Linked DNA regions of Sus scrofa. The protein of the gene in region 1 interacts with the protein of each later gene in a pairwise test. Links are inferred from orthologs where the notes say so. Each region holds a gene or a part of one and is shown in the gene's direction. Other genes may lie near its edges. The genes, in order: LDOC1, LNX1, LATS1, FOSL1, RAB29, FAM208B and POLL.

Region 1 (4,295 bases):
TTTTTATCCTAACATCTGCACCCTGAGATTCCTTTATCCACCAAACCCTTATGAAGCTTCTACTCTGGGCCAGGCACTTTTCTTGCATTAGTGATAGAGCAACCAACAAAGCAAAGCCTCTGTCCACACAGACATTTTAAAGGGGAAGCTGACCTATAAACAAAGTGCTATGTGATATGATGGCTGTTAGTAGGATAAATGCTATGTAGAGAAATGAAGCAAGGCAAACGTTAGAGGTTACTGGCAGAGAGTGGGGTGCTCTGATAGATGAGGTAGTTAGGAAAGTCCGCTTTGAAAATGGAGGAAGAGTCAGGCAGTAAAACCAGGAGAACATTCTGAGGCAAAAAAGAAAGTACAAAGATCCTGAGGCCAGAGCCACTCAGTGTGTGTGAGCCTCAGCAAGAAGGACAGTGTGATGACAGCAGAGCAGGAACTGGGACAAGGCAAAGGGAGTGAGGCAGGGCTTGATAGGCCATTACCGAGACTTTGGTTTTTATTTTGAGCGAAGGGGGAAAAACTATTGGAGGGTTTTGAGCAGGAAAGTAAAGAGATCTAATGTTTGTCCTAAAGGATTCCTATATCTACTCTGGAGTATGTATATAATACACACACACACACACACAACTTGAGGAAGAGAAGAGTGGAAGCTAAGTGATGAGCTGCAACAGTCTGTGTGAGAAAGGAGGGCTGGCCTTAGGGTGGTAGTGCTGTTTAGAGATCCCCAGGTAATTAAACTGCTGATATATTTAAAAAGCAAAGCTAAAAAAATATATTGGCCCCAAGGTCCTCACCCTGACTTATTTGTCAACTATTTGAATAATCACATTCAAAGTAGAAAACAAAACTATTTTAAAAACACATGTGTTCATTGTTAAGCAAAGAACAATAACCAGTAGTAGGACATGAAATAGAGTCAAAGATAGGCAGGACTCATGCAAATGGTGATTGGATACTAACTTTTGCAGAACTTTTTACACTTTGCTATTTAAAAGTAATTTTAAACAAAAGGATAGAGGTACACAATATTATTTTACAACTAAAGAAAAACCTCTTTTTAAGTATTACTTTGTCATGAAAGACAGGACTCCTGAACGTCTTTCATAACTCTTAAAGGATGTGACTCCTGCGGTGCAGCCAGAATTGCTAATAGTTCTCTGAGTGAGGGAGATTTAAACACGCAAAGAAATGTGTTAAAACCACATAAATGGAATCTGGTGGCCACAGACCCACCGAGGAACATTGAGTCGTTTGGGTTGAAGGGTGGTTAATCCTTTAAACTTGAGCAGGTTAACCCTCTCTGGGAGATGGATCTTAGCGTTTGCTCGGCCTTGGCTAAGGCCTGGCCCGCATCTAGGGCTGGATCTCCCCCCACTGCCTTTATCCACGGGCCGGGAGAACTGCGAGCCAGCAGCCCGAGACCCTGCCCGCCTCCTTGCCTGGCCACGCCCTCCCTCTGTCCGCTCCACTCTGGCCACGCCCCTCCTTTCTCCAGTGCCCGCCTCCCTCCAAGCGGGCGGCGCCGGCGTGCCGGCCGTCAGAGCCGCTGTGTGGGTGGAGCTTGCGCAGCTGCCGGGACCCCTGCGCGCACCGCCTCTCGCCCCTGGCCGCCGCGCGCCTCCGCGGACACGCACTTCCTGCAAGGCCTCCTTGCTCACCTTAGCCGATCCGAACCGAGCTGAGCCCATTCTTGCTCTTACAAGCTGTTCGCCATGGTGGACGAGCTGGTACTGCTGCTGCACGCGCTCCTGATGCGGCACCGCGCCTTGAGCATCGAGAACAGCCAGCTCATGGAACAGCTGCGGCTGCTGGTGTGCGAGAGGGCCACCCTACTGCGCCAGGTACGTCCGCCGAGCTGCCCGGTGCCCTTCCCCGAAACGTTTAACGGTGAGAGCTCCCGCCTCCCTGAGTTTATCGTGCAGACGGCGTCTTACATGCTCGTCAACGAGAACCGGTTCTGCAACGACGCCATGAAGGTGGCATTCCTAATCAGCCTGCTCACCGGGGAAGCCGAAGAGTGGGTGGTGCCCTACATTGAGATGGATAGCCCCATCCTAGGTGATTACCGGGCCTTCCTCGATGAGATGAAGCAGTGTTTTGGCTGGGATGACGACGAAGAAGACGACGAAGAAGATGAAGAAGCTGATTACTAGGCCGGGAGACCCTCGGGCCTAGGGGGGTGGGCCCTGCACGCCGCCACCACCCCCCGCCCCGCTTCGCTCCTCCCGGAGCCGCGACACTTCCCTCGCTCCCTATCTGCTTCCCTAGTCTTCCTAGTCTTCGCTCTGGTTCTCTTCCTTATTCACCGCTCCCCCCCCCCCCCCCCCCCCCCCGTAGTGTTTGTCTTTGTTCTGGGAATAGTGCTACAGTTACCTGCTGCTGGGGCTGGGGCCTCTCTGAAGTGCGCTGCCTCCCACTCAGGCCAGTCCCAGGGCCCAACCCTGCTAATTTGAACTGTGTTCTGAGCCCCAACTATAGGGCAGACTGTTACAAACTGGTCAGACTACCCACAGCCCTGCCGATTGTCAGGCCTACATCTGCCCAAAGACCGACGCTGCCACCTAACCAACCTCCATCACATTCCAGCGACAGACAGACCAGGCCTTTGGAGACAAGGACCAACCTAGAAGATGCTTTTAGTTGGCTATACCACCTGGGACATTGATTTGGACTGCTCACGCCCACCCCACCCCCCCACGAGGGGCGAATCTTTGCACCTGGTTCGTTCCCTCCTTTCCTAACTCATAGAGTCTTCTCCTGCCTCACCAGGTTGCTGCAGGGGCCCGTTGTGCCTGGCAGCCAAATTATTGACATTTCTCTTATGCACCAGTTTTGCACAACTGTCATTTTTCTTTTAAAACTGAAGCAGTCCCACAGCTGTGTGCATTTGGACAAAAATACTAAAAACAAAAACCAGACAGACAAAAGCAGGTACTCAGCCCAGCTCCTCAATACTACATAGAAAAAGCATTTGCATTCTTTTCAATAAATATCAAGCACTACGGAAAAAAAAGAGCGTCTTTTAATGGTTAAGTGCTATCATTGGCCTTTGCCACTCTCACCCTGACTCCCATTATTCCTACTGATATCAGAGAGCCTAGTTCAATCCCATTATTCTCTACTGTCATGTCTGGGCAATAGAGGACTGCTACTACAGAGCTTTATAGGGAAACTGGTGCTCCCCTCACCAAGGCACTTTTTAAAGCCCTGGTGAAGTGAGTGTCCTCTGGGGCTTCCAGGATGGGATGAATAAGGGGTAGTTGAGTAGATGGCACACCATCCCAAACTGGGACACTCGAGAGAAAAAGGGGGCACTATTACTAATCGGAATGGGACAATAGGCGTACATCAGGGCACATACCATATTCCTGTCTTCCTGAGCTTTTGGGTTCTTTCTCAGCCCTGCCAGGCAAGTGCTGCCTCTTAACTCTTATTCCTTGCAGGGTGCTGTTTGAGTTCAGGCTTCCATAAACAAGGTAGCACATTGTTTCAATACCGATTTTAGATGCTTGAGCTAATGTTAAATCCTGAGTCCTGGGTAAATGCACCCATAAGTGGAGCCAGATTTTAATGTTTCATCCTCCTTGGGCAGATAACCCTTAAGATCCCCACCCATCTGTGTGCCCCAGATTCCTGCCTGTAGAAATCGACAAGATGCCTGGCTATCTCCCATACTAGATCTTGTAATGCTGTCTGAGCTGTGCTGAGATCTTTTTGTGGGCCTGGAGGGCTGGAGGCCCTAAGGGAGTGGGGTGAGTGCTGAGAATAATCTCTACTTTTGTGAGCCCATAACCCCAGGTTAAGTCTTTGAAATGTTAAATCAGGGAAGCCTGATTAGGGGATTTGTGGGGCCTATCGCTGCCAGCCAGGAACTGTCAGGAGGATTTGAGGGGTTCAGAATTCTGATTCTTACATGTATCTGCCCAGATGTCTTCTGTACCATGCCGGGAACCAGCCCTACTTTAGAACCTCTAATTTAGATAATAAAATTCCTTCTTGTTTAAGACCTTTTGATGCTGAGTGTTTTATTTGTACCAATAAACCTTACATTGTGGGTTCAATGAGATACAGGGAACAGGTCTCTTGCTGTTGAGCTGGGCTTCAGTAGGAAGGTGTTAGGAGTGAACAGGAGCAGAATAAGCTCAGCAGAGAGAATGGAAATGAGAGCATGACAAGAGTTCATTTTTACTCTTTGGGATCTGACATGAAGTCAGATAGAAAACCAGTTTACTTGGTGAACAGACAAAGTCTAGAGCAAGAGTCATCTTTTGGACCTAAGAAAGTTGTTTCTGTAGGGT
Region 2 (4,052 bases), on another chromosome or scaffold:
CAGTGGTTAATGAATCCGACTAGGAACCTCAAGGTTGCGGGTTCTATCCCTGGCCTCACTCAGTGGGTTAAGGATCCGGCGTTGCCATGAGCTGTGGTGTAGGTTGCAGACACGGCTCAGATCCTATGTTGCTGTGGCTGTGGTGTAGGCCAGAGGCTATAGCTCCGATTAGACCCCTAGCCTGGGAACCTCCATATGCCATAGGAGCAGTCCTAGAAATGGCAAAAAGACAAAAAAAAAAAGAATCACGGTGGACAGCCAGGTGACAGCAGCCAGCAGTGCCCCCGTGGATTAGCAAGAGGCAGGGGTCCCTGGGCTAGGTGTGTTCTGTGTGCAAGTTACCGAAAGGTAGCACCGATTCATAACTCCAGGGCAAGACCGCTTAGCTAGCTGATGATCTGTGGTTCTGTTTAGAATTCCATTCCCAGATCGAAGAGTTTCTTTGGCCACCACCGGAGCTGTCAGACCACAGAAGTACCTAAGCCAACAGGCGGGAAAAACAGGGCTTAGAAGAACACCCTTCCAGAAAGGCAATTTCTACATTTTTAACCAGCTGGGTGACTTGGCAGGAGTGACTTAATCTTGCTAATCCTCAGTTTCTTCATCCACAAAATGGGGATGAGAACTATACGCTTATGTCAAGGATTAAATGAAATAATGCAGGGGAGGTCGTTAGCCCAGGACCCAGCTGACAGTAAAGTCTCCATAAGTGAAGTAAGCAAGCAAAGACAGTGCCGCTGCTGATGACCGTGACCTGGAAGAGTAGGTAGAAGAAATCCTTATTGAAACGATAATCCTGTATCTTTAGAGGGTATCTTTAAATGTCTTATCTATATCGTTAAAAGTCTTAGCTAGTGTCAGCCATGAACTCGCTCCCTCTTTTTCTTTGTCTAAAAACATTTGCCAGTGTTCCGTTACGAGAGATGCTGCCTATGGAAAATCTTTGAAAGATTTGGCAAGGCATCGGAGCGAGTCAGGACTGCTTGATTTGTCTGAGATAGATTTCATGCTTCTGAGCTAGAGGCACGCTTCTTCGCAGACTTAAAAATGAAAAGATGCCCAGGATTCTGAGACCCGTCCAGGCAGTGGCCAGCTCCCGCCTGTTCAGGAAGTGGTCCTAGCATGATGATGTCCCAGCCTGGTGCTGACCTGGAGGGGCAGTGACCCTGTGTTTATTTCCTTGTTGATTTCCCTTCCCTGGTTCCAAGCTCATTTTCCCATTGCCTGCAGGAAAACAACATCCAGGGGTGCGGTAGGTCTGATTTGGCAGCTCTAAAGGTGAACAAAAGGATCCTGGCTTTGGCGAGAGCAGGAGGAAGTTGGAGGGGGCCTCGGCCCCATGCAAACCAGAGCAGACTTGTTACCGATGCTCCTGGGTGGCTGTTCTGCGGGGGCCTCTCTCCCCTGGTTGATGGATCAGCTCTGTGCAAAGCCTGCAGACGGGGCCTGGGATGAGCTGATGAACTGCAAAGCGGGGTGGTTCTCATGCGTGTCTGGAAGACAGGCCACAGGAAAGAGGAAGAGTATTTTTCTGGGCTACTGCTGAGTCAGAAAAACTTAGCTCCCAAATGGACTGTACCAAGAGGTCTTACCTGGCTGGAAACTGATTCACAGCACAGCAAAGGTAAGAGGCCTTCTTCCTCCAGAGGGTGGCATCAGACAATTGGAGAAAACTTTGCCCCAGACTATCCCAGCCCAGCCTCCACCCTCACCCCCACTGCACTGCACGCAAACACATGCATACACACACACAGACACACACACACCCAAGATGTTGAGAACCTAGAGATATCTAGGTCTGTCTTTTCCAAAACACTCTAGAAAGGCCTCAGGATATTTGCTCTCTTTAGGCTTGATTTATTTTTTTTCTGCATTCTTCACGACACCTCTTCTTTTATTTTCAAAAATAAAAACTACATATATACATATGTAAATTTTTTTTTTTTACTGGCCAAGCAAGTCAGTAAATCATAAGTAATCCCACTAATAATGATTGGGTTTCTGTGACATTATTCGTCATCAATACTCAAAATACATTCACGCATTTTATCCCATTTCGGCAGTAGAAATAGGCATCATCACTGCACTTTCACCTACAGAGCAACTGAGGCCCAGAGCAGTGGACTTGCCCAGCAGCAGGTAGGAGGTGAGACAGTCCATCTCATTGCCGCTCCGCCTCTTTTCAGCAGACTAGTGACTCTCCTCTCTAAACCAAATACCAGGCTCCATTCTCTGCCACATTCCCAGCACACGATCTGATGAGAGGATGGAACCGGAGCAAGGAACTCCCCTGGACAATCCAGAAACAGAGAGTCACGGGGTCTAGTCCAATACGCCACCGCATTGTATATCCCTGTCTGCTTCTCTCCATAGGCATTGACTCCAGTTCAACAGATGTTGATCAGCGCTGGCCCATGTGCCCAACTCTGGGTCACGTGTCAGGGCGCAGGGCAGACTGGATGCCCAGGTGGTGCTGAAGGAGTGGGAGCTGGGAGAGGAGTTTGTTTATGAGAAGGCTTTCCATGGGAGGGGAGCCTTACACCAGGCTTAGCGTGACGTGCAGACTTATATTGAGGGAGAGCAATGCAGATCAGCGCACCCCTCCCCCTGTCCCCTGGCCGCCCCAGGTAGGGAGGGAGTGAGCATTTACAGCAAGACTGGCAGCGGAGGAGCAGAGGGGGTACTGAGCAGACTGGGAAGGTAGACCATCTGGATATGACTCTTGGTTCTACCGCCTAGTAGCTGTGTCCTGGGGTGACTCAGATAACCCCTGTGACCTCAGTCTTCTGACACGTAAAGTGGGAACAGTGGTGATGCCTATTTCATGGGGTTGTCTTAAGATGTCAATGCGATGATGCATGTGAAATCTTTGCTGGCACCCAAGTGCTCAGTTCATACTAACTATTTAACTGCCATGTACCTGGCTCCATGGGAGAGGAGCCCTACCCTCAACTGGACCACAATATTATGGGTTAGTTGTGTGTAACCCACTATAGGCAGTGTGCTAAGTGCTGTGAGGTCACAGAGGAGGGATCGGTTAAGGATACTTGGTTGAGTGTCCTGGGCGGTCTGTTGAAGGGAGAGGGTCGGAGGAGAGGTTTCATGGCAGAAGCCCTGTTGTAGTAAGGTGGCTTGCATCAAAGCTATACTGATTTGATTTTTTTAAAATATATTTCTGAGTATTTATATAAATGTTTAATTTCCTATAATATACTGACTTGATTTTGAATAGCAACTTCAGCCCCACCAGATGCGTGGTATGACTGTGTTAGTCTGCCAGGCTGCATAACAAAGGACCACAGCCTGGGTGGCTTCACCAACAGAAATGTACTTTCTAAAGTTCTGGAGGCTCTAAGTCCAACATCAGGGTTAGGCCACTCTGCCGGGCTTGCAGAGGGCCCCCTTCTTACTGTGTCTCACGTGGTCATCCCTCTTTGCACCTGCACCCTGGTGTCTCTCTGCATGTCCAAATTTCTTCTGGGAAGGGCATCAATCAGGTTGGATTAGGGTTCACCCTAGGGACCCCTTTTTGATTTACTCACCACTTTCAATGCCTCATCTCCAAATCCAGCCACTTTTTGAGATACAGTGGGGCTTTAGAATATAAACTTGAAGGGACATCATCCAGCCCATAACAATGAGTTTGTTTCTAAGCCTTTCCAAGCCTTTTCACTCAACTAGAAGATGGGGACAGTACTTGACATGGACAGTACTTAACATGGAGACCCACTGTGATCATCACAAAAAAAAGACATGGAGTTCCTTCCCATTGTGGCTCAGTGGTAATGAATCTGACTAGGAACCATGAGGCTGTGGGTTTGATCCCTGGCCTTGCTCGGTGGGTTAAGGTCCTGGCTTTGCCATGAGCTGTGATGTAGGTCGCAGATGTGGCTCGGATCCCGCATTGCTTTGGCTGTGGTGTAGGCTGGCAGCTGTAGCTCCAATTCAACCCCTAGCCTGGGAACCTCCATATGCCACAGGTGCAGCCCTAAAAAAAGCAAAAAAAGAAGAAAAAAAAAAGAACACATGAAACACCTCTCCCAGCCAGTTTT
Region 3 (4,015 bases), on another chromosome or scaffold:
TTTTGGTTTCCTTTGTCTTTTTTAGGGCTACACCCACAGCATATGGAAGTTCCCAGGCTAGGGGTGGAATCCAAGCTGCAGCAATTGGTCTACAGCACAGCCACAGCAACTAGGGATCCAACAAGTCTGCGACCTACACCACAGCTCATGGCAACTCCCAATCCTTAAGCGAGGCCACAGATTGAACCCTCATCCTCTTGGATCCTAGTCAGGTTCCTTACCGCTGAGCCACAAAAGGAACTCCCTTAAATGACTCCCTTTAGATCATACCTTTTACAAACTCTACCTGTGGAAGAGACTTTCAACCAAATGCTCTTGGAATGTAATCTTTTCTTTCATCATAAGTTTTCATATTTGAACTTCTGGAAATAGTAGCCAGCCACTAACTCAACATCAGAAAAAAAAGAGGCTTTGGTTTAAACGAATAATAGCTAGTCTCCAGCATAAATGTGATGAAAGGAGATATTTGAAAGTACTAACTGCATATATTTTCTAGAGGCAAAATTGGCAAAGGCCATGGGCAGAGAGTGGAGGGGATCTTCAAACATCATAAACCCAACGATCCCATCCCAAACTTCCAATTCCATCTAACAAGATAAAGCCTCTTTCGCTGCAGTCAAAATTATTCCAGTTATGGTAATAATGACTTCCTTTTATACCGATTCAGTTGACAGATTATTCAGTTGACAGAAATCTCTGAACCCCTAGTCTGTTCGTGTTCGCGAATATATTAATCTGACTGATTCAGAAAACAAACTCACGGATGTACTCGGGGAAAGAGTGCTAAGCAAACATCAGTTTATTTCAAAGCCTCTAGAAATTCCGAATCCCGAGGTCCACCGCGAGGTTTCAGAGAGCAACTCACGGCTGTTACCTTTTGGAAATTAAACTCTTGCAGAGGCGCACCTTTTATTCTACATTCGTCCTTCCACAGAAAGCGCTCAATTGAGAAAGACACTGAACTAAATGAGTGGGCTTGGGAGGCGGAGAGCCGAACGCCATCAGCCGTGGCGAGTCACCTGCGCAGCGCAAAGCGGGGGCGACGCGGGGCGACGCGCGGGCACACGCAGGGGGACGGGCGGCCGCGGAGGGCGGGAGGCCGGCGGCGGCGCGCCCGCTCCCCACGGCCGGGCGGGCAGAAGCCCCCAGTCCTCGGCCCCCGCGCAAGCGACGCCGGGAAATGCCCACATCCGGGAAACCTGCAGCGGAGTGCGGCGGCGGCGACACCGAGTGGAAGGCAAAATGGCGGCGGCGGCGGCGGCCTGGTGCTGAGGGGAGAGCCAGGTCCCCGCGACCTCCGCGACGGGCCGCGCTGGCCCGCGGCAGCCCCCCGGCGTCTCTGCCCGCCCTGCCCCACCGGGGACACTTGGGGTCCCTGGGACGGGCTCCGGCCGCCTCGACGCCCGCCCTCGGGCCCGTGGCCGCTGTCCAGGAGCCCCGCTCTCTGCAGGTAGGTCCGGGGCTGGCGTAGCGGGTGGGGCTCACTCTCTCCTCCGGAGCCCGCGTTGGCGGGGCGGTGGCCGTCGGGGCCCACGCCCATCCCCGCTGGCGGGAGTCCAGGGGCCGCTGCGGACGGGCGGGCCGGGCCGGCCCGGTACGGGCCCGATTTGGCTGGTTGCATGGACCTGAGCGGAGCCCTGCCCTGGGGAAGCGAGGGTTGGCCGCGCCCGGGGCTGGAGGAAGAGCCCCAGGCTTTGCGGCCTTGGAGGTTCAGGTTAGCCCGGGAAGATCCTGTCTCACTGGAGGCCTTGCGCGGACTGTTTTCGCTCACACCTCCCTCCACCCTTGTCTCCAACCCTCACCGGTCAGCGGTGTTCAGGAAGGAACGGATAGCGAAAGGTGATTGTGAAGGAAATGTGCAGTGAAGGAGCCACAGTTCTTTCATTCCAGAAGGACCTGCTCCTGGATATACCTTGAAGAAATTCTGAGAATTTCTATTTACAGTCCACTGTAAATAGGTTGCTGTTCATAGTTGGAAGGGATAGGAGAGATGGAGGGAGTATGTCTGTAAATTCAGAAAATGAAGGAAAGGAAGTTCAGGGGACATTGTTTATTGTAACTTCAAAAAGACTTTGTGCCACAAAGAATGACTCTCAGGTGAAGTGATTTAACCCCATTCTTTCCAGTTGGAAGCTATTTTCTTCTTCAGTTTAAAGTTCTTTTCTAAGGGAACAAAAATTAATGTCTGTTGACCCATATGTTAATACGACTCAAAATATTACATCGTTATCTAGAAGTTAATTCATAAATCTAGTGAGAACTATAATCTCGCACACAGTATTGTATCACTCCAATTTTGGAAATGGACTTGAACCATGAAGGGTGTCAGGTCTTATGGATTGTTATTGAGGACTAAGAATTTTTTGTCAGATTTCCACCATATAGAAGAAAAAGTCGGATATTATAATTGTAATGAATGTGCTCTGCTAAGGTATCTATGTTCGTGATTTAACTACGTTTATTTTTTTCCTTTAATTAGTTGACACACGGGTAAAATGAGCTAGTTGATTCCCTAAGGCAGTGGAGGAATTTGATTTAACAGTGAAAGAAGTAGCATTGTGTTCCTCTGATCGGCTGTTACTGCAAGAAACTAGATCATGATACAGGCTAGAAAAGGCGCATTTTTTCCTGTGCCTGAGTATTTAATAAATATGGTGACAGCCTTCAAAAGCAAATAAAAATATTTCTGCTAGATATATTTGGCATGATATGGCACATGTGGATTTCTTTCTTTAGGTTGAGTTTTTGTTTTTGTTTTTAATGCTCCTCCTTGTTACTCTACATAGTGTAGCCTTAGAACAGTTCCAGCTCTGGTTATTTAGTTTTTGCTCTAGATGTGATATTTAGATTAGTGGTGGATTTTTGTAGACTATGAAAGTTATTTAGTCATTGAACAACATTTTTATCAAGTAGAAATGGCAGTCATTTTTCAAATGATGATAAAATATAATGATTGTTCTCACTTTTGATAGGTTAACTCTTAGAAAGTGAATTGGAGAAAATGTCATCAGAATGCAGAGATTCTTACATATTACCATATGGACAGCTAAGACTATACTGCTAAGACAGTACTGTTGCTTTTCTCATAACTGATTTAGTCAAAGCTTTAAGATACCATCTTTTTTACAAGCCTAGTTCAACCTAAGGTATCAATTTGAAATCTTCTTATGTAATGGGCTCTGTTCTTTTCCTAAGTTGGGTAAGATATCAGCAGTATTTGTTTGTACTTATTGACATTTGTACATCTGATGAAGGTCCGAACTTTCTAAGAAATGGAGGTTTTGTCTGTTCAGTCTAACCAAGTTATCCCTTCAAAGAATGTGAGTCATGATCCCTTAGGAAAACTAAGATGTAGGTATGATAAAAAAGAGCCTTGGGGAGTTCCTGTTGTGGCTCAGTGGTTAATGAATCCGACTAGGAACCATGAGGTTTCGGGTTTGATCCCTGGCCTTGTTCAGTGGGTTAAGGATCCGTGTTGCCATGAGCTGTGGTGTAGATTGCAGACGCGGCTCTGATCATGAGTTGCTGTGGCTCTGGTGTAGGTCAGTGGCTACAGCTCCGATTGGACCCCTAGCTTGGGAACCTCCATATGCTGCAGAAGCAGCCCAAGAAATGGCAAAAAGACCAAAAAAAATGACATGGAAAAAAGAGCCTTGGGCTGTTTCAGGATATGTGGAGTCCATTCCTAGCATGACCTCCAGCTGGCTGTATGATTTTAATGGGGCCACTTTACCTCTCTGGATCCATTTACTCTGGATCAATTCAAATTATAATTTAAAATAAAATACACACACACACACACACACACACATCCAATATCCAAGATACCTCTGCTTTGTCAGTCTGTGCTTAGTGGGAAAAATAAGACAAGTACAAGAATAGGGCAAAAACAAGTTTTATTTGCCTGTGTAAAGTGCATTTGAAGTTCAGAGGAGGATAGCAGCTGGCACTTCAATGAAAGCTTCATGAAGGAAGCATTTGAATGGCACCATAAATGCTGGGTATAATTTCTACA
Region 4 (3,993 bases), on another chromosome or scaffold:
AAGAGACAGAGAAGCAGCTTTGGGGCGGTCCTCTCAGCACCAACATATGTGAAAAGCTGTCTGTGAGGGCTTTGAAATCGCTTGCCCAAACCTGGGCTGGGAGCTCCCACAGCCCTGATTTGGCAACCTGCTTCGGCCACTTGCTTAGTGATCTTGGGCCCTTCATTTCCACATCTCTCAGCCTCACTTCCCCCATCTGTAAAATGGGGACGATAATGGCACCTACCTCGCAGCGCTGCTGGTCTTCGGCTGTTGATATTTGTCCCTGGCCTCACATTCATACAGACTTTTGATGTAATCTCCAAACAAGGCTAGTGACCACACAGTCCTGGAAGAGTAGTTACAGTATTTAAAGAAAATGATGTTTATCAGACCACAGGACAAGTGCCCCACTGCAGGCTTTCACTGCTTACAGAGGTTCTGAATGAAAACTTGTCCTGACTCCTGAAATTACCCTGCGAGTAGGGCAATTACATTGCATAGTATTTGGGGATAGTTCAAAGCATTATCATGTCATTGTAAACATTTAAAATATACACCATTTTTGGAGTTCTCTGGTGGCTCAACAGGTTGATGATCTGGCACTGTCACTGCTGTGGCTTGGGGCGCTGCTGTGGTGAGGATGCCATCCCTGGCCTGGCAACTTCTGCATACCAACGGGCACAGCCAAATAAGTGTGTGTGTGTGTGTGTGTGTGTGTATCTACCACTTTTGTAATCCTGGTTTGTCATTCACTTTTTAGTAAACCTGAACCTTAAGACAACGCCAGTGAAAGGGCTTCACACCACAGACTTGGATGGCGGTAGCACGGTTCCTGGCATGAAATAAGCACCCAGTAAATAATGATAATGATGATAATAATAATGCTATCACATTTGTAACCCATTTTACAGTTTCCAGACCCCTTTCATTCCAACCTCCCACGCGCGGCCAGGGCGCTGTGTGATTATTTCGTCCCATTTTACGGATGCAAACACTGAGGGCTCTGGGATCTGGTGGCGGGATCTAGGTCTGCGCAGGTGGAGGGCGAGGCGAGGCGGGGCGGGGCTGGGCGGGGCGCAGGTGCCTCCGTCGGCGGGGGAATCCTTCGCTCCACCTGGGCGCGGCGAGGAAATTGCACCATGTATGGGCAGCTACGTCAGAGGAGGCGGACCTGCCGCTGTCGCAGGGGGACGTCAAGTCCGCCCTTTTTCCCCACCAAAAAGCGGCTAGCCGGCTGTAGGAGGCGACGAAAAGTTCAGGGCGGACTGGCAAAAGGCGGTGCGATTGCAGAGGTGGAGCCCCGAGGTGACCAGCGCCGCTGAGGAACGCCCCCCCCCGCCCCAGTGGAAGTGGTTCAGCCCGAGGACTTTTCATTCATAAAAAGAAAAGACTCCGCGAGGAGCGAGTGAGTCAGAACCAGAGCCGCCGACACGGACCCCACAGAGCAGCCAGCCCAGGGCATGTTCCGAGACTTCGGGGAACCGGGACCGAGCTCCGGGGCCGGAGGTGCGTACGGCGGCCCGGCGCAGCCCCCGGTGACAGGCCAGCAGGTGAGAGGAACCCTACGCCCAGTGTCCCCAGGTGGACAGCGCCTGAGACGGTGCGGGCCGCTCCAGCACAATCCGGACCGGGGCCGGGAACCGCAGGAGGGAGTGGGGCTCGGAGGGGTGGCAGCGGATCCTGCCCATTCTCGGTTGTCCAAGGGCTCTTTTCCCCCCACAGCCCAGTGGGACGCGCGCGGCGGGGGGGGGAACGAAGATCTGCGAACGTCCCCTCTGTGGCTCGCGCTCTTTCCCCCTCTCTCTGCGGTCTCTCCGTCCCTCCGTCTCTGTTACCGTCTTTCCTTCCTCCTGTCCACCGCCGATTTCTTTGTCCCATCTGCGTCCGAAGGGGACCCCTTGTCCGGGATGAGTTCTAGTCCCGGCAGAATCAAAGAGAACTAAATTCCAAGAGCCGGAGTCTGAGCTGCGGCCGAGATGTCCCCTCGCACAGAGAGGATCTACCGGCGGGCTGGACCCGGCAGACTGGGAATCCTGGGCGGTCTGTCTGTGATCATCCCGGCGCCCGCCCGTTTGTCTGTCCCTCCCCATCCCGTCGCCAGATCCTTATCATCATCTCGGCGCAGTGGAGCCTGGTGGGCTCCGGGAGACCGGCTCTTGACCCTTTTACGGGATGCGTCCGGCAGAGACCGTGAGGTGCAGGGAGACGTGCGCGGGGTCAGGCTGCGGGCAAGTCCCGCGCCCCCGGCTCTCGGCACCAAACGGCGCCCGCTGCCGGCAGGGGGGAACCTGGGAGGCTGCAGGTGCCCATTTCCTGTCGAGGGGCCGTGAGCACGTGTCGCTAGGGGAGGGAAGGAGCGGCGTCCGTTCCGCCGAGTCACGGCAGCCGAGTCACGGTGGCTGACTCACGCGGGGCGCCCCTCCCTTCCTGGCCCGGAGGGGCCCGGGCCTGGACAACCTCGGGAGCTGGAGATGCCGCCGGCGGTACCTTGGCCCGAAACTGGGGTCACTGGGCCATTGGGCCCGCAGCACTAAGCCGGGGACACTGCTGTCCTGACTTGTCTGGGCTTGTGGGGCGCTTCCCGGACGACTGGGCGCCCACACCCAGGGCTTGAATCTAGTTCTTTTTCCAAACAGTAAGCCCCCATCTCAACCCATTCCTCACGTTTCTGGCTGGAAGGGAATTGTGGCAGGTGATACCTGGAGCACATACTGTGCAGCTCTGCCTGGTGCCGGGCAGTTTCCGCCTCATTTATCTTAACTCCTAGAATCTAAGACCCCACTGATACTAAAACCCATCATTATTTTGTAGCACAAAAATTGTTTTCAAGTTGCCAATTGAACTATGAGAGCTGCTATTCAGGGCCACTAAAGGGTACTTCTTAGCATCATTGAAATGCTGTAATCCCTCCCTGTGACAATATTAAAAACGAGGAGACTGAGGCACACTGAGATTAAATAATTTGCCCAGAGAGCCAGTAAATGGCTGAGTTAAGATCAAAGCCGGGATAGCCTGAACCCAGAGCAGTGGTCCTTGTCCACACTTACCAGGCTCTCTCACACACATCCTCTCACCTGATTCTCACAATCACCCTTGAAGCCAGAAGCTGTCACTCTCCTCTTCATGCTGATGAGACTCAGGCTGCGTGCAAGAGTGGGCAAGGGCCTGGCTTCCTGGGCACAAACCTGCTTCCCACTTACTGGCTGTGCGTCTATGGAGAACTGTTTTCCTGTCTGAAAATGAAGATACTGTTGTGTAAATTATATGAGTCAGGATTAGCAAAGTCGTTGGGCCAGTGCCTGGAATTCACACTTTCTTAGCTCCGATGGGAGAAATGGAGGCCCCAGAGGTTGTGTGACCTGCCTAAAGTCACACAGTTCATAAGCAGGGATGCCTGCCAAGCTGCGCCCTCTCTGGTCTCTCAGAACCAGCAGCTGCCTTGAGGGTGGGCAGCAGTGTGACTTCTGTCCCCTGGAAGCCCCTCCGTCCCTACAGACCTCATCCCTAGTCCTCTGTGTCTTATCCCTCAGAAGTTCCACCTCGTGCCAAGCATCAACGCTGTGAGTGGCAGCCAGGAGCTGCAGTGGATGGTACAGCCTCACTTCCTGGGACCCAGCAGCTACCCCAGGCCTCTGGCGTACCCCCAGTACAGTCCCCCACAACCCCGGCCGGGAGTCATCCGGGCTCTGGGGCCAACTCCGGCAGTGCGTCGCCGGCACTGTGAACAGGTAAGGAGCAGAGGCATTTGCACAGGTTCCTGTGCCCGCAGGGCTGCTGAGGTGAAAAAGATAAGCTCTTGCTGAAAAGCAGAACACAGGCTTAGAAGGAGGGTGGGGAGAATAGGTCCACTGGTGACTACTGGCCAAGGCAGAAAGTGATAAGAGCCCCTGGGGAGACCCAGAAGGCAAAGTGGTCACTGGTGGATCAGGGAAAACTTCCTGGAGGTGGAGGCATATTAGCTGAGAAATATAGGTGGGATTTGCATAGAGAGATTTGCATGTCCCTTCCAGG
Region 5 (4,183 bases), on another chromosome or scaffold:
CCTTACAGAACATAGGTGGCAGCCTATAAAGACCTGAGCAGGGCTATTTTCCCATTGCTCTATTGCTTTCTCTTCTACTCCTGGGAAAAACAGAAAATGAAGCTTACTGGAATTCCCACTGAGGTGCAGTGGGTTAATGATCTGGCTTGACTCTGTGAAGGCACCGGTTCAATCCCTGGCCAGGTGCAATAGTTTAAGGACCCAGCATCGCTGCTGCTGTGGCACACCTGGCACAGCTGTGGCAGGGCTCAGATTCGCCCCCTGGCCTAGGAACTTCCACCTGCGGCAGGGGGACGGGGGTGGGGTGGCACGGGCAGCGGAAAAAGAAAATGGAGCTTATTTTGTTTGGCGGTGAAGCTCGTGTGTGCTTAATTCCTACCTAAAGGGCAGGCATGTCCAAAAAGTTATGGGCTGAAAAATTAAAAGTATTTGCAAAATTGTAGTTTAATCATTATTCATGAGCAACAGCGACAAAAAATGGAAGAGGATTCTCAGTGTACTCCAGCTCAAATGGTATGAGGAAGGTAGTATGACTAGGGATTGTGGAAGTGAGAATGATGACCCAGCTATTGTTTTCTATTTTTACTGCTATAGCTAATTATTAAATGTTAATAATAACATTTAACAACATAGGTTTTTCTAGGAGTCTATCTCTTAATTGTGTCCCTGGACTTGATTGATAGATGCATTTGAAAAAAAATGTAAGAACTAGTAACCTTCCTTATGTTCACAAGCTCCTGATGTGTCTATCTAACTGAAAGAGCAGGAAATATACTTCACTTGGATCCTGAGAGAAGAGGGTTGAGCTTTTGTTAGTGGAGTAATGTGTGAAATCTACAGGATAATGTTTAATCTTAGCTCCACAAAACTTTGAAAGATAATGAGAAACCTATCTGGGGACAGATTTACGCAGGCAAGATCATGTCGAACAAATCGCCCCCGAAAGAGCTTTTCTATTCCAAAATTATTTTAAAATAAGATTCCGGAGTTCCCGTCGCGGCTCAGTGGTTAACGAATTCAACTAGGAACCAAGAAGTTGCGGGTTCGATCCCTGGCCTTGCTCAGTGGGTTAACCATCCATCATTGCCGTGAGCAGTGGTGTAGGTCGCAGACGCGGCTAGGATCCCACGTTGCTGTGGCTCTGGTGTAGGCCGGCGGCCACAGCTCCAATTAGACCCCTGGCCTGGCAACCTCCATATGCCCTGGGAGCGGGCCTAGAAAAGGCAAAAAGACAAAAAAAAGAAAAAGAAAAAAAGATTCCAAACGGTCGAAAGTGTTTGAAACTTCATGTAGGTTTTTAAAAACAAAAATAGTGAATAAACTACACATCCCAGAAAGCCACGCGAGCGAAATCTCCACACTCGGCCAGGTCTCTCCACCCCGAGGTAAGTTGGGAAATGTAGTGCTCCAAGCAACCCTGCACGTGACGCATGCGGAGGAAGGCAAGAGACTACGCCACCTGGGGCGGTACAACGTCAAGGGGTAAATGTGTAAGGCGCTCTTTCCTCCAAATGTGGCTTGTGCAGTAGGGAGAGGTCCCCTATCTTCTACCCAACCGTGAAATTCAGTCGCCCGCTGGAACAGCTCCGGGGAAGTCCCGGTGGGTGAGGCAACGTGGTGCCTTGTCCCGTTTCTCGTAGCCGGTCGGGAGGGGGAGAAGGTGAGAATAGCCGGGGGCTCGGAGCTTGCGTCCTGCGCCCCACCCAGGCTGCGGCCGCGCGGGGAGGAAGCGCGTATAGGTTGAGTGCAAAGTTTCCTTTTTTGCTTTTTCGTCACAGCAACCCCAACGAGCAGTGGGCAGAAATGCCAAACTTCAGTTTGAGCGGGGTCCGGAGCCAAAGGAGTTAAAATAAACGACTCCCCCACTTCCCTCCTCCCTAAAACGTCGGTCCCGCTAGCCATGAGCAGCCGCGATCACCTGTTCAAAGTGCTGGTGGTGGGGGATGCCGCAGTGGGCAAGACGTCCCTGGTGCAGCGGTATTCCCAGGACAGCTTCAGCAAACACTACAAGTCCACGGTGGGAGGTGAGACGTCCCTTCGGGGGCGGGGTAGGCGGGAGGCTGGGACCACGGACTCGAGCTGTGGACTTAGTTGGGGTGGATAACGGGGAATTTGGTATCCTTGGGGCTTTCCTTGGGTCAGGAAGTAGATGTCTGGGATCCTAGAGGGAGGCAGGCTGGGTCTGTTTTGCGTGACTCTTGGGTTTCCCCATTAGGTTTTTTCCAGCCTGAGCCGACTGTCTGGAAAGAGATGAAACTAAGGTGTGATGATAAGGACATGGGGAAGGGAGATGAGAAAATGAGCAATTGCTGCTTTTCGCTGAGGGAACTATGAACTCAAGTCTCCTCCTGCTGCCTTCCTAGCGGTCACGAGCAAATCTCTGCCATCAGCAGATGCAGTGGAGACGCTCCAGAGAATCTGGTTAGGTACCAGCCAGGGACTGTTGTCCTGCCTTCACAGGAGTTACAGACAGCTGTTGAAGGCACAGAAAGGTGTTTAACCTGGCCTCAAGGAGCCTAGCTTTGTAATGGAGATGCCTGTAGGGGAGAACCCCTGGGGCACACAGTCAGATGCTTATCAGGGCTGCTGAGCTGTGTGTTTTTTGTCCATTAATTGCCTAAATAAAGGCAATGTAGAAATTCTTAGCTTGAAAGACACCACTTCTCTGACCTGTTTTTCCCACCCCTTTTCCTTTCAAATTAGGGGGCGGGGGGATGAGGAAGGGAACACCAAGAGTTAATTCATTTCATTCCAGGTGTGACCTTTGGACTCAACTGTCTTTTCAGAAGTAGAAATGCCTTTTAAATAGAAGTTTAGAAGGGGTGAGCTGGTGAAGAGGGAGAGTAAAAACATTTATTTATCTTCAGTAAAAAGAACTAATTTTTTTGGCCTCGCCTGCAGCACATGAAGTTCCCAGGTCAGGGATTGAACCAGCGTCACAGAGGCGACCCAAGCCACTGCAGTGAAAATGCTGGATCTTAACCTGCTGCACTACAAGAGAACTCCAAAAAAAAAAAAAGAACTTTTTTTTTTTCTTTAAGGAAAAAACTTGTGGTAATGTAAATTTTGAAAATGTGTGCTGGTGTTCATTATGGAATTTTAAAAAATTAACATGCATTTCGGGAGTTCCTGTCGTGGCTCAGTGGTTAACGGATCCGACTAGGAACCATGAGGTTGCCGGTTGGATCCCTGGCCTTGCTCAGTGAGTTAAGGATATGGCGTTGCCATGAGCTGTGGTGTAGGTCGAAGACGTGGCTTGGATCTGGCATTGCTGTGGCTGTGGTGTAGGCCGGCTGCTACAGCTCCCATTAGACCCCTAGCCTGGGAACTTCCATGTGCCATGGGTGTGGCCGTAGAAAAGACAAAAAAAAAAAAAAAAATTAACATGCATTTAGATTGCTATTAAAAGTGCCTTCCAGGAGTTCCCGTCATGGCTCAGTGGCTAAGAAATCCGACTAGGAACCATGAGGTTGCAGGTTGGATTCCTTGCCTCGATCAGTGGGTTAAGGATCTGGTGGTGTTGTGCGCTGTGGTGTAGGTTGAAGATACAGCTTGGATCCCGAGTTGCTGTGGCCCTAGAAAAATACAAAAAAGACCAAAAAAAATCCTCCTGTAGTTCTCTTGCAGCACAGTGGAATAAGGATCTGGTGTTGTCACTGTAGTGGCTTGGGTTGCTGTTGTGGCATAGGTTCCATTCCTGGCCTAGGAACTTCTACATGCTGTAGGTAGGACCAAAAAAAATTTAAAAAAATAAAAAATCCTCCTTAATAACATTCATCAAAATTAAGTTTTTAAGTTTCAAAGATTTAAAGTAATCTTGGAATAAAATAAAATCTTTGAAAAGAATCTTAAAAAATAAAAAGAGCAGGAGTTCCCGTCGTGGCATAGTGGTTAACGAATCCGACTAGGAACCATGAGGTTGCGGGTTCGGTCCCTGCCCTTGCTCAGTGGGTTAACGATCCGGCGTTGCCGTGAGCTGTGGTGTAGGTTGCAAACGCGGCTGGGATCCCGCGTTGCTGTGGCTCTGGCGTAGGCCGGTGGCTACAGCTCCGATTCAACCCCTAGCCTGGGAACCTCCATATGCCGCGGGAGCGGCCCAAGAAATAGCAACAACAACAACAAAAATAAATAAATAAAATAAAATAAAAAGAGCAGTTTCCTGGTGGCTCAGCAAGCTAAGGAT
Region 6 (3,500 bases), on another chromosome or scaffold:
GCTAATGAGGACAGGAGCAGTGACACTTCACAGACAGCGACCTTCGTCCTTTCTAAAGAAACGTGTGCCCTTGAGGTGGCAGAGGAGATGCATGTGGCCTTAGACTTCCCCTTCGGTTCTTTGATTGAGGAAGTGTCACCAGCTTCCAGTCCTGACCCACAGGCACCAGGCACAGACGCACAGACGGCTAGGGCTGTGTCCTCCTGCGGCGCGGAGCTCTCTGAGGCGCGGCGTGAGAGCGGTGACCCGCCGTCCCAGATGGAGTCGGTCGATATGGCCGTAACAGAAAAAGACAATTCTTTGGCGGGTCCAGCCCCTCCAGTGGGACAAGATAACTTACCTCGGGCACCGCCAGTGCCGTTTCCTGCTGAAACGCCTCTGGTATTTAGGCGTCCCCCCGAGAGGAGAGGGACGTGCTCAGCCCTTCCCGGTGCAGTCCCTGAGCAAGCTGTCCCGGGGGAGCGTGACCAGGGTCCCCCCCTCTCCGCAAGGGCACCGAGCTGGGACGCAGAGCCGAAGCAGCCTGCCTCGGCTGCCAGGTACAGAGATGCCCCGGGAAACCAGGCGACCTCAGGGAGTCCCCTGCAGCCAGCGGCGGTGGAGGACAGAAGCCCCCACGTGAGTCACCTCATCTGGGACTCCAGGGACCCTCCCCTCAGTCCCAGGCACATTCTGGAAACTCAGCCTTTGGCTGCGGCCTTTGTCTCCGCGGCTGCGCCCGCTGACGCCAGTCTGTCCCTGGGGGAGCAGGCCGGCCCCGAGAGGCCCCCGGAGCATCTCCTTGGCGGGGACCTGAAGACAGACGGCCGCTGCTACATCCTCGTCAGGTCCCTTCGCTCGGGCTCGGTGGACAGCGCCGCCGGCCCCGGGGGCCTGGTCCACGCGGAGCGGCCGGCAGCCGGCCTCTGCTCGGGCCCCGGAGCCGCGGGGCCAGGGCCGCAGACGCAGGAGATCTCGGCCGTGAGGATGGCCAGGCTGCTGCAGAATAACGGCCCCGAGGCCGGGACCCTCGGCGACTCCGTGGACCTGGGAGGCGCTGGTCCGCAGTGGAGACCCCCGTCTCCTCCCGCCTTCCACCGGCTGCGGGCCGGGTCCGCGGGCCCAAGCCGGGACCTGGTGGGCCATGGGCCCTTGCCCCCCTGCTCACGGGCCGATGCGCCCCCCGACACGGCGGCCGCCGGCCTGGGCGGCGGGCAAGCGCCTTCTGCCTCCTTTGTCCCCGGATCTCGGGCCCCTCTTGGTGGTGGCGTCTCTGGCGCTGAGAGCGCTGGTGAGGGGCCGAGGGCCCCGAGGGACCCTGCGCCCCCGGGTCTCCGTGCGAATCCTGACATCCATTATGAGCCACTTTCCGGAGACTCGGATCAAGACTCTCTTGGCGAGTGTGCGAAACCCAGGGAAGACGCCCGGGATTCCTGCGCTCCGCGGTGTAGGCGTGCCGAGGACAAAGGCGCCTCCGACGAGAGTGACGACCCTTTCCTGGGCCTGAGCCACAGCGACGACGACGAGGACTGGGGCCGCTCGCGCCGGCTGCCCGGGCTGGAGCCCGCCAGGCGCGTGCCCGCTTTCGTCCGCGTCCGCGACCTCCGCGGCGTGGCCCGCGCCTACGCCAACTTCCCGGTGACACGGGCGCGGAGCCGGGCCCCCGGCGGCGTGGCCCAGGGCGCCTCGCTCCGCCTGCGGACGGACACGGGGCCGGGGGCGGCCGACCTCACCCGCAGCACTTTGGATCTGGAATATCTGCGTTTTGCGCATAAACTAAAGCAGATGGTGAAGCGCGGAGACGCCCGGCGGTCGGGCCCCTCGGCCCCCGCCTTTCCCAAGGCGGCCCCGGCGCCCGCGCCCGCCTCCCGGAGCCGAAGTCCCCTGGTGGTGACCGTCGTGCACTCGGACCCCAGACCCCCGGGTCGTCGGGCAAGAGGCCACACGCCCCACCGCATGGCCCAGGCCTCTTCGTCCTGGAAGGAGCGGGGCGCCCACGGCAGGAGCCCGCTTCCCAACTCGGGCGGAAGCCAGGCGGCCGCGCTCCACCTCCACAAGCTCAAGTACAACAGCCCCTGGAAGGACTCGCGCGGCGACATCTCGCTCATCCTCAGCGAGTTCGCCGAGTTCAACAAGGTGCTGCTCGGCAGCGGCAGCCAGGCCGCCCCCCGAGACCCAGAGCCCAGCGAGGCCGCGGCCCCGGCGCCGGGCCCGCCCTGCCCGCGGCCCGCCTCCTACGAGGACCTGGTGGCCGACCTGTGCGCCAGTCTGCGCGTCAAGCTCGAGCGGGTGGTGAAGGAGGCCTGCGCCAGAACCTTCCTCTTCCACCTGGTGGAGACAGCCGACGAGTCGTTCTTCCTAAGGACGAAGGTAAAGGGCCGGGCTGCTCCTGCTGCTGCTGTCCGTTTGGCGTCTGAGTCTTTTCGTAAGGAACCGAGCAGCCTCAGCTTCAGAAAGAAGCCAGCACCAGGGGGTGCTTGAGCTCCACAGCTCCGTGCGCGCCGGGCTGGAGGAGAGGCTGGAGGGTCTGCCGTGTGCACTGTTGGAAGATTTATGTGATTTCTCAAAACTGATGCGGTGCCTTGTTTTCACAAAACAGCACTTGGGGAGATGTATTCAGGGTGGACACAAATAGAATCCAGAGGCAGGTTCAGGTTTTAATCACTAATCCTGGAGCTCCCACCATGGCTCAGCGGAAGCAAGCCTGACACGTGTCCGTGAGGGTGTGGGTGTGAACCCTGGCCTCGCGTACTGACCTGAGGATCTCGTGTGGCTGTGGCTGTGGTGTAGGCCGGCAGCTGTAGCTCCGATTCGACCCCTAGCCTGGGAGCCTCCATAGGCCGCGGGTGCAGCTCTAAAAAGCCCAAAAAAAATTCCTCCCTGTGCTCACCCATTAGTGTAGTTGAGGGGACCTGAGCGTCCTTCCCAAGTGGACGTGTGAGGACCCCTTTCTGTGCTTGTCTCGGGTCTCGGGATAAGAGGGACACGAGAAAAGGGACATTAGAGATGAGCGCCCAGCTCTGGCAGGTGCCGAGGCAGGTACAGGGCAGCACCGAGAGGGACGCCGGCCTCGCGTCTGCAGTGGTGATGGCCAGACGAGGAAGCGTTTGTGCAAGCCCCGGCTCAAGTCCAGGGTGGCTGTCGGGTGACAAACGTGGCCCACGATCAAACTGTCAACGCCGAGCTGCTGAGTAACATCAGACACCTGAAGCTGCTCATGGCATCTGCGCCATCGCGGGCGTGACAGTCCCCACCACGGTGCATTCGGAGGGCCTGGAGCCAGGACCGCACTGCGGCCCCTGGTGGCTCCTGCTCCAGAGTCACTGGGACACGTCACTCCGTGAGTGCTTCCAGTCAGTCTCAGTGCCACCGGAGAAAAGCATGAGGGCCTGAGGAGGCTTCCAGAAGGGTGGGCAAGGCTCGGGGGCACAGGGCACAAGCAAGGGCCCCGCAGACGCACTCGGAGGCTGGCCGTCCTGGGGTCACGGGGCGCTGGGAGGTGTCTCAGATGAAGGGCGCTT
Region 7 (3,146 bases), on another chromosome or scaffold:
TAGAGGGAGACGAGGGTACACTTAGGGTTAGATGTATCAGAGTTGGCGTTTGGATTAGGGGCTAGTTTGCTCACTTTAGGCTGGGACTCTGATAGGGGGATGTGGGCCGAGCTCAGCTGCAATCAGCCTCCAGCTCTGCTCTGGGCCACATGACTATGAGGCAGTATGGAATGGACAGGCAAGCCCCTTTGTCCACCCATCACCCGGCCTTAGGGCTAGTGACAACCTGCCACTCAGCCACGGTATCTGGGCCTGGAGAATGTCCCAGCAAGGCTCCAGCCCCGACCCTCTGGAACAGAGGTGGCTCCCCATCTGGCCCACTCTCCCCACTTACAGGCTCCAGCCTTAGGAGGTTTTGATGGGCTTACTTATCCTGGCCTCCTCCCATCCTCTTGGGAGGCTCAAGAAGGGAGTTGAAGGGATTAGCAGAGCCTGCCTGTCAGGAGGATCGAGGTACCCGGCAATCTCTGGGTCCCAGGGTGGAGACAGGGAGGCCATCTGCATAGGAAAGGCCTCAGCGGTTCTGGGGTGGGGCTGATGGGCTTATCCCCGTCAGTGTGCAGCGATCCTTCAGTAGACAGTCTCCTCTGGCTCCGTGCCCTCCCCAAGAGCCCCAGTCCTCCACGTAAGGATGTGGACATTGGCTCAGAATTGCCTCCACTTTGCTCTCTCTCCTTCCCTTTCCAACGTGCTCAGTTATATTTCTGGGCTCCGTCTCCCCACCCAGGGCGCCCTGCCAGCCACCTGCTCAGGCCTCAAGCCCCAACTCACACTCTGACTTTGGCTCCAAATCCCAAGAAACTAGGGGCTGCCGAAACCTGGCTGAGGGCTTCATGGCACCTGCCCTTTGTCCCATGTGGAGTCTCACAGACCTGGACATGTGGGTTGGGCAGAAGCCCAGAGAAGGTGTGCCTCTGCTCTCAAGGAGCTCCGACGAGAAGGATGGATACCTACCCTCAGATCCAAGCACCCCTTCTCCTGCCTCCCCTCTGCCAGCCCCAGTGGTGTGAGCATGCTTTCTTCTCTTTCCTAGTGAAGCCAGGGAACGGCCATTCCCCAGGGTAGAGCTCTGCCCTCTGTGTCTTGGGGCTCCTTCCCTCAGCTGGGGTCACGGATCCAGGGACTGGCTGGGGACACAAGGGCGGCATGCGGGCCCCCAGGTCAGGGGAGCCCCCGTGCTGCCGTGGAGAGGAGCTCCCCTCAGGGCTTGAGGCCCACCTCCCTCACCCACTTGCTGCCCTTGCTCAGGTCCGGGAAGCAGCTCAAGCCTTCAACCCCGGGCTGCTGTGCGTGGCCTGTGGTTCGTACCGACGCGGAAGGGCAACCTGTGGTGATGTGGACGTGCTACTCACCCACCCGGACGGCCGGTCTCACCAAGGCATCTTCAGCCGCCTTCTGGACAGCCTCCGGCAGCGAGGTATAAGCCCTACATCTGGGTGAGCAGGTGGGCACGGGCAGGGTGGTGCCCAGGAGGGACAGCCTCCTAATCTCCAGGCCAGAAGCAGGGGACGGATGCTCTCTCGTGGCCGGAGCCACTTCCGAGAAGAGATGCCTCAGTTCCCCACACCTCCCGAGAGGTGCTCAGTTAAACCAGCAGCCGAGTGTCTCGGCCGATGTTTCTGTGCCGCCAGAGGGGAGGTGGGGAGGAATTGCTCTTTTACAGAGAAGGACACAGGCCCAGAGAGGGCAAGGTCATCCAGCAGACCAGTGACGAGCTGGGAATAGAGGACCCCGGGATGATGGGGACAGGCCTGGGAGGTGGGAATGACCCAGGGCCTGGCTCTCGGCCTCCCAGCAGCCCTTCTGTGTTGGGCCAGGGTTCCTGACGGATGACTTGGTGAGCCAGGAGCAGCACGGCCAGCAGCAGAAGTACCTGGGCGTGTGCCAGCTCCCAGGGCCAGGGAGGCGGCACCGACGCCTGGACATTATCGTCGTTCCCTACAGCGAGTTTGCCTGCGCCCTGCTCTACTTCACCGGCTCTGCCCACTTCAACCGCTCCATGCGGGCGCTGGCCAAGACCAAGGGCATGAGCCTCTCGGAGCATGCCCTCAGCACGGCTGTGGTCCGGGACGCCCATGGCCTCAAGGTGGGGCTTGGCCGGGTGCTGCCCACCCCCACCGAGAAGGATGTCTTCAGGCTCTTAGGCCTGCCCTACCGAGAACCAGCTGAGCGGGACTGGTGACCCATGGCTGGGGGAGGGGGTGTCAAGCGGGACCATCCCTCCAGCCTCACCAGGCTGAACCTCACTACTTCAGCCACCACCTCCTCTGGCCTGATGGAAAGGGCCAGCCAGCTTCCAGGGTCTGCCCAGCCCTCTCCCCGCCAGGAGCAGGCTGCTGCCCCGTCTGCCTCACCATTGCCCCTGCCCCATTTGAAGCAGGAGCTGGTGCCTGGTTTGAAGCGAGCTTCCTGTGCTAAAGGCCCAGGTGTCCCTAGAAGTGGGATGGGGGCTGTGGGGAGAGGCACGCAGCTGTAGCCCAGCATCACCTAAGACCCTTCAGAACAGGAGAATGAGCCACTCCACGTGCCCTCCCTCTGGCCACCCCACTTCCTGTGCAGCTGGCAGTGTGGAGAAGAGGCACCCCAGGTTCAATGAGGACCGCATTTGAAGGCTAAGGGGCCCAGTAAAGTGCACTTGACATTCAACCTGCCTGGTGGATCTGTGAGCTGCTGAGGCCTCGGCCCACCCTCTTCCACCTGGGCAGGGACAGAGATAGGAGCTGAATGGGAGCCCAGAGAGGCAAGTTAACTGCTCTCCAAACAGGCCAGGCCTGAGCCAGTTCCTGAACAACTCAGAAGGGGACAGGAGTGGACATTAAAAGGGAGAATGCGTGGAGTCAGGCCCCGGGAGTTCCTCTCTACCCATCAGCATCTCCTGTGGGCCCTGCCCTAGATCACGTGATATGGGATGTGAACAAAGGTGACAGAGTTCATTAGGAGCAACTAAATGGTGACCTGTGTGCCATTGACAGGGCTGAGGCAGTCAGGGAGGGCTGTCTGGAGGAGGTGAGGGGCAGTTTTGGGGACAACTAAGAAACCTACTTTAGTGAGGATGCTGGGAGTCTAGAGAAGGCTGGGCTGGTAGAGGACTGAAAGATGAGCTGAGGGCCTTAGTTTGATAGAGATGCTAGGAGAGTCCAGCTAGT

The links.
Region 2: the proteins of LDOC1 (region 1) and LNX1 interact in a two-hybrid assay, tested with the Homo sapiens proteins (2 studies listed by BioGRID and IntAct). The link is inferred for Sus scrofa from reciprocal best matches to the Homo sapiens genes LDOC1 and LNX1.
Region 3: the proteins of LDOC1 (region 1) and LATS1 interact in a two-hybrid assay, tested with the Homo sapiens proteins (2 studies listed by BioGRID and IntAct). The two-hybrid records come from large-scale screens. The link is inferred for Sus scrofa from reciprocal best matches to the Homo sapiens genes LDOC1 and LATS1.
Region 4: the proteins of LDOC1 (region 1) and FOSL1 interact in binary tests that used the Homo sapiens proteins (3 or more experiments, as listed by UniProt). The two-hybrid records come from large-scale screens. The link is inferred for Sus scrofa from reciprocal best matches to the Homo sapiens genes LDOC1 and FOSL1.
Region 5: the proteins of LDOC1 (region 1) and RAB29 interact in binary tests that used the Homo sapiens proteins (3 or more experiments, as listed by UniProt). The two-hybrid records come from large-scale screens. The link is inferred for Sus scrofa from reciprocal best matches to the Homo sapiens genes LDOC1 and RAB29.
Region 6: the proteins of LDOC1 (region 1) and FAM208B interact in binary tests that used the Homo sapiens proteins (3 or more experiments, as listed by UniProt). The two-hybrid records come from large-scale screens. The link is inferred for Sus scrofa from reciprocal best matches to the Homo sapiens genes LDOC1 and TASOR2.
Region 7: the proteins of LDOC1 (region 1) and POLL interact in a two-hybrid assay, tested with the Homo sapiens proteins (2 studies listed by BioGRID and IntAct). The two-hybrid records come from large-scale screens. The link is inferred for Sus scrofa from reciprocal best matches to the Homo sapiens genes LDOC1 and POLL.

The regions. Positions count from the first base shown.
Region 1 is NC_010461.5:115,579,127-115,583,421, forward strand, and holds LDOC1 (protein LDOC1), read left to right. Parts: upstream 1-1,495; 5' UTR 1,496-1,709; coding exon 1,710-2,150; 3' UTR 2,151-4,003; downstream 4,004-4,295. UniProt on the Homo sapiens protein: May have an important role in the development and/or progression of some cancers.
Region 2 is NC_010450.4:40,437,735-40,441,786, reverse strand, and holds the start of LNX1 (E3 ubiquitin-protein ligase LNX), read left to right. Parts: upstream 1-1,252; 5' UTR 1,253-1,624; intron 1,625-4,052.
Region 3 is NC_010443.5:16,273,740-16,277,754, forward strand, and holds the start of LATS1 (serine/threonine-protein kinase LATS1), read left to right. Parts: upstream 1-1,215; 5' UTR 1,216-1,450; intron 1,451-4,015. UniProt on the Homo sapiens protein: Negative regulator of YAP1 in the Hippo signaling pathway that plays a pivotal role in organ size control and tumor suppression by restricting proliferation and promoting apoptosis.
Region 4 is NC_010444.4:6,428,965-6,432,957, forward strand, and holds the start of FOSL1 (fos-related antigen 1), read left to right. Parts: upstream 1-1,193; 5' UTR 1,194-1,442; coding exon 1,443-1,532; intron 1,533-3,512; coding exon 3,513-3,710; intron 3,711-3,993.
Region 5 is NC_010451.4:66,455,967-66,460,149, reverse strand, and holds the start of RAB29 (ras-related protein Rab-7L1), read left to right. Parts: upstream 1-1,383; 5' UTR 1,384-1,482; exon of another isoform or gene 1,483-1,660; intron 1,661-1,778; 5' UTR 1,779-1,900; coding exon 1,901-2,024; intron 2,025-4,183. UniProt on the Homo sapiens protein: The small GTPases Rab are key regulators in vesicle trafficking. Essential for maintaining the integrity of the endosome-trans-Golgi network structure.
Region 6 is NC_010452.4:65,205,974-65,209,473, reverse strand, and holds part of FAM208B (protein FAM208B), read left to right. Parts: coding exon 1-2,349; intron 2,350-3,500.
Region 7 is NC_010456.5:112,608,058-112,611,203, reverse strand, and holds the end of POLL (DNA polymerase lambda), read left to right. Parts: intron 1-1,248; coding exon 1,249-1,417; intron 1,418-1,817; coding exon 1,818-2,182; 3' UTR 2,183-2,646; downstream 2,647-3,146.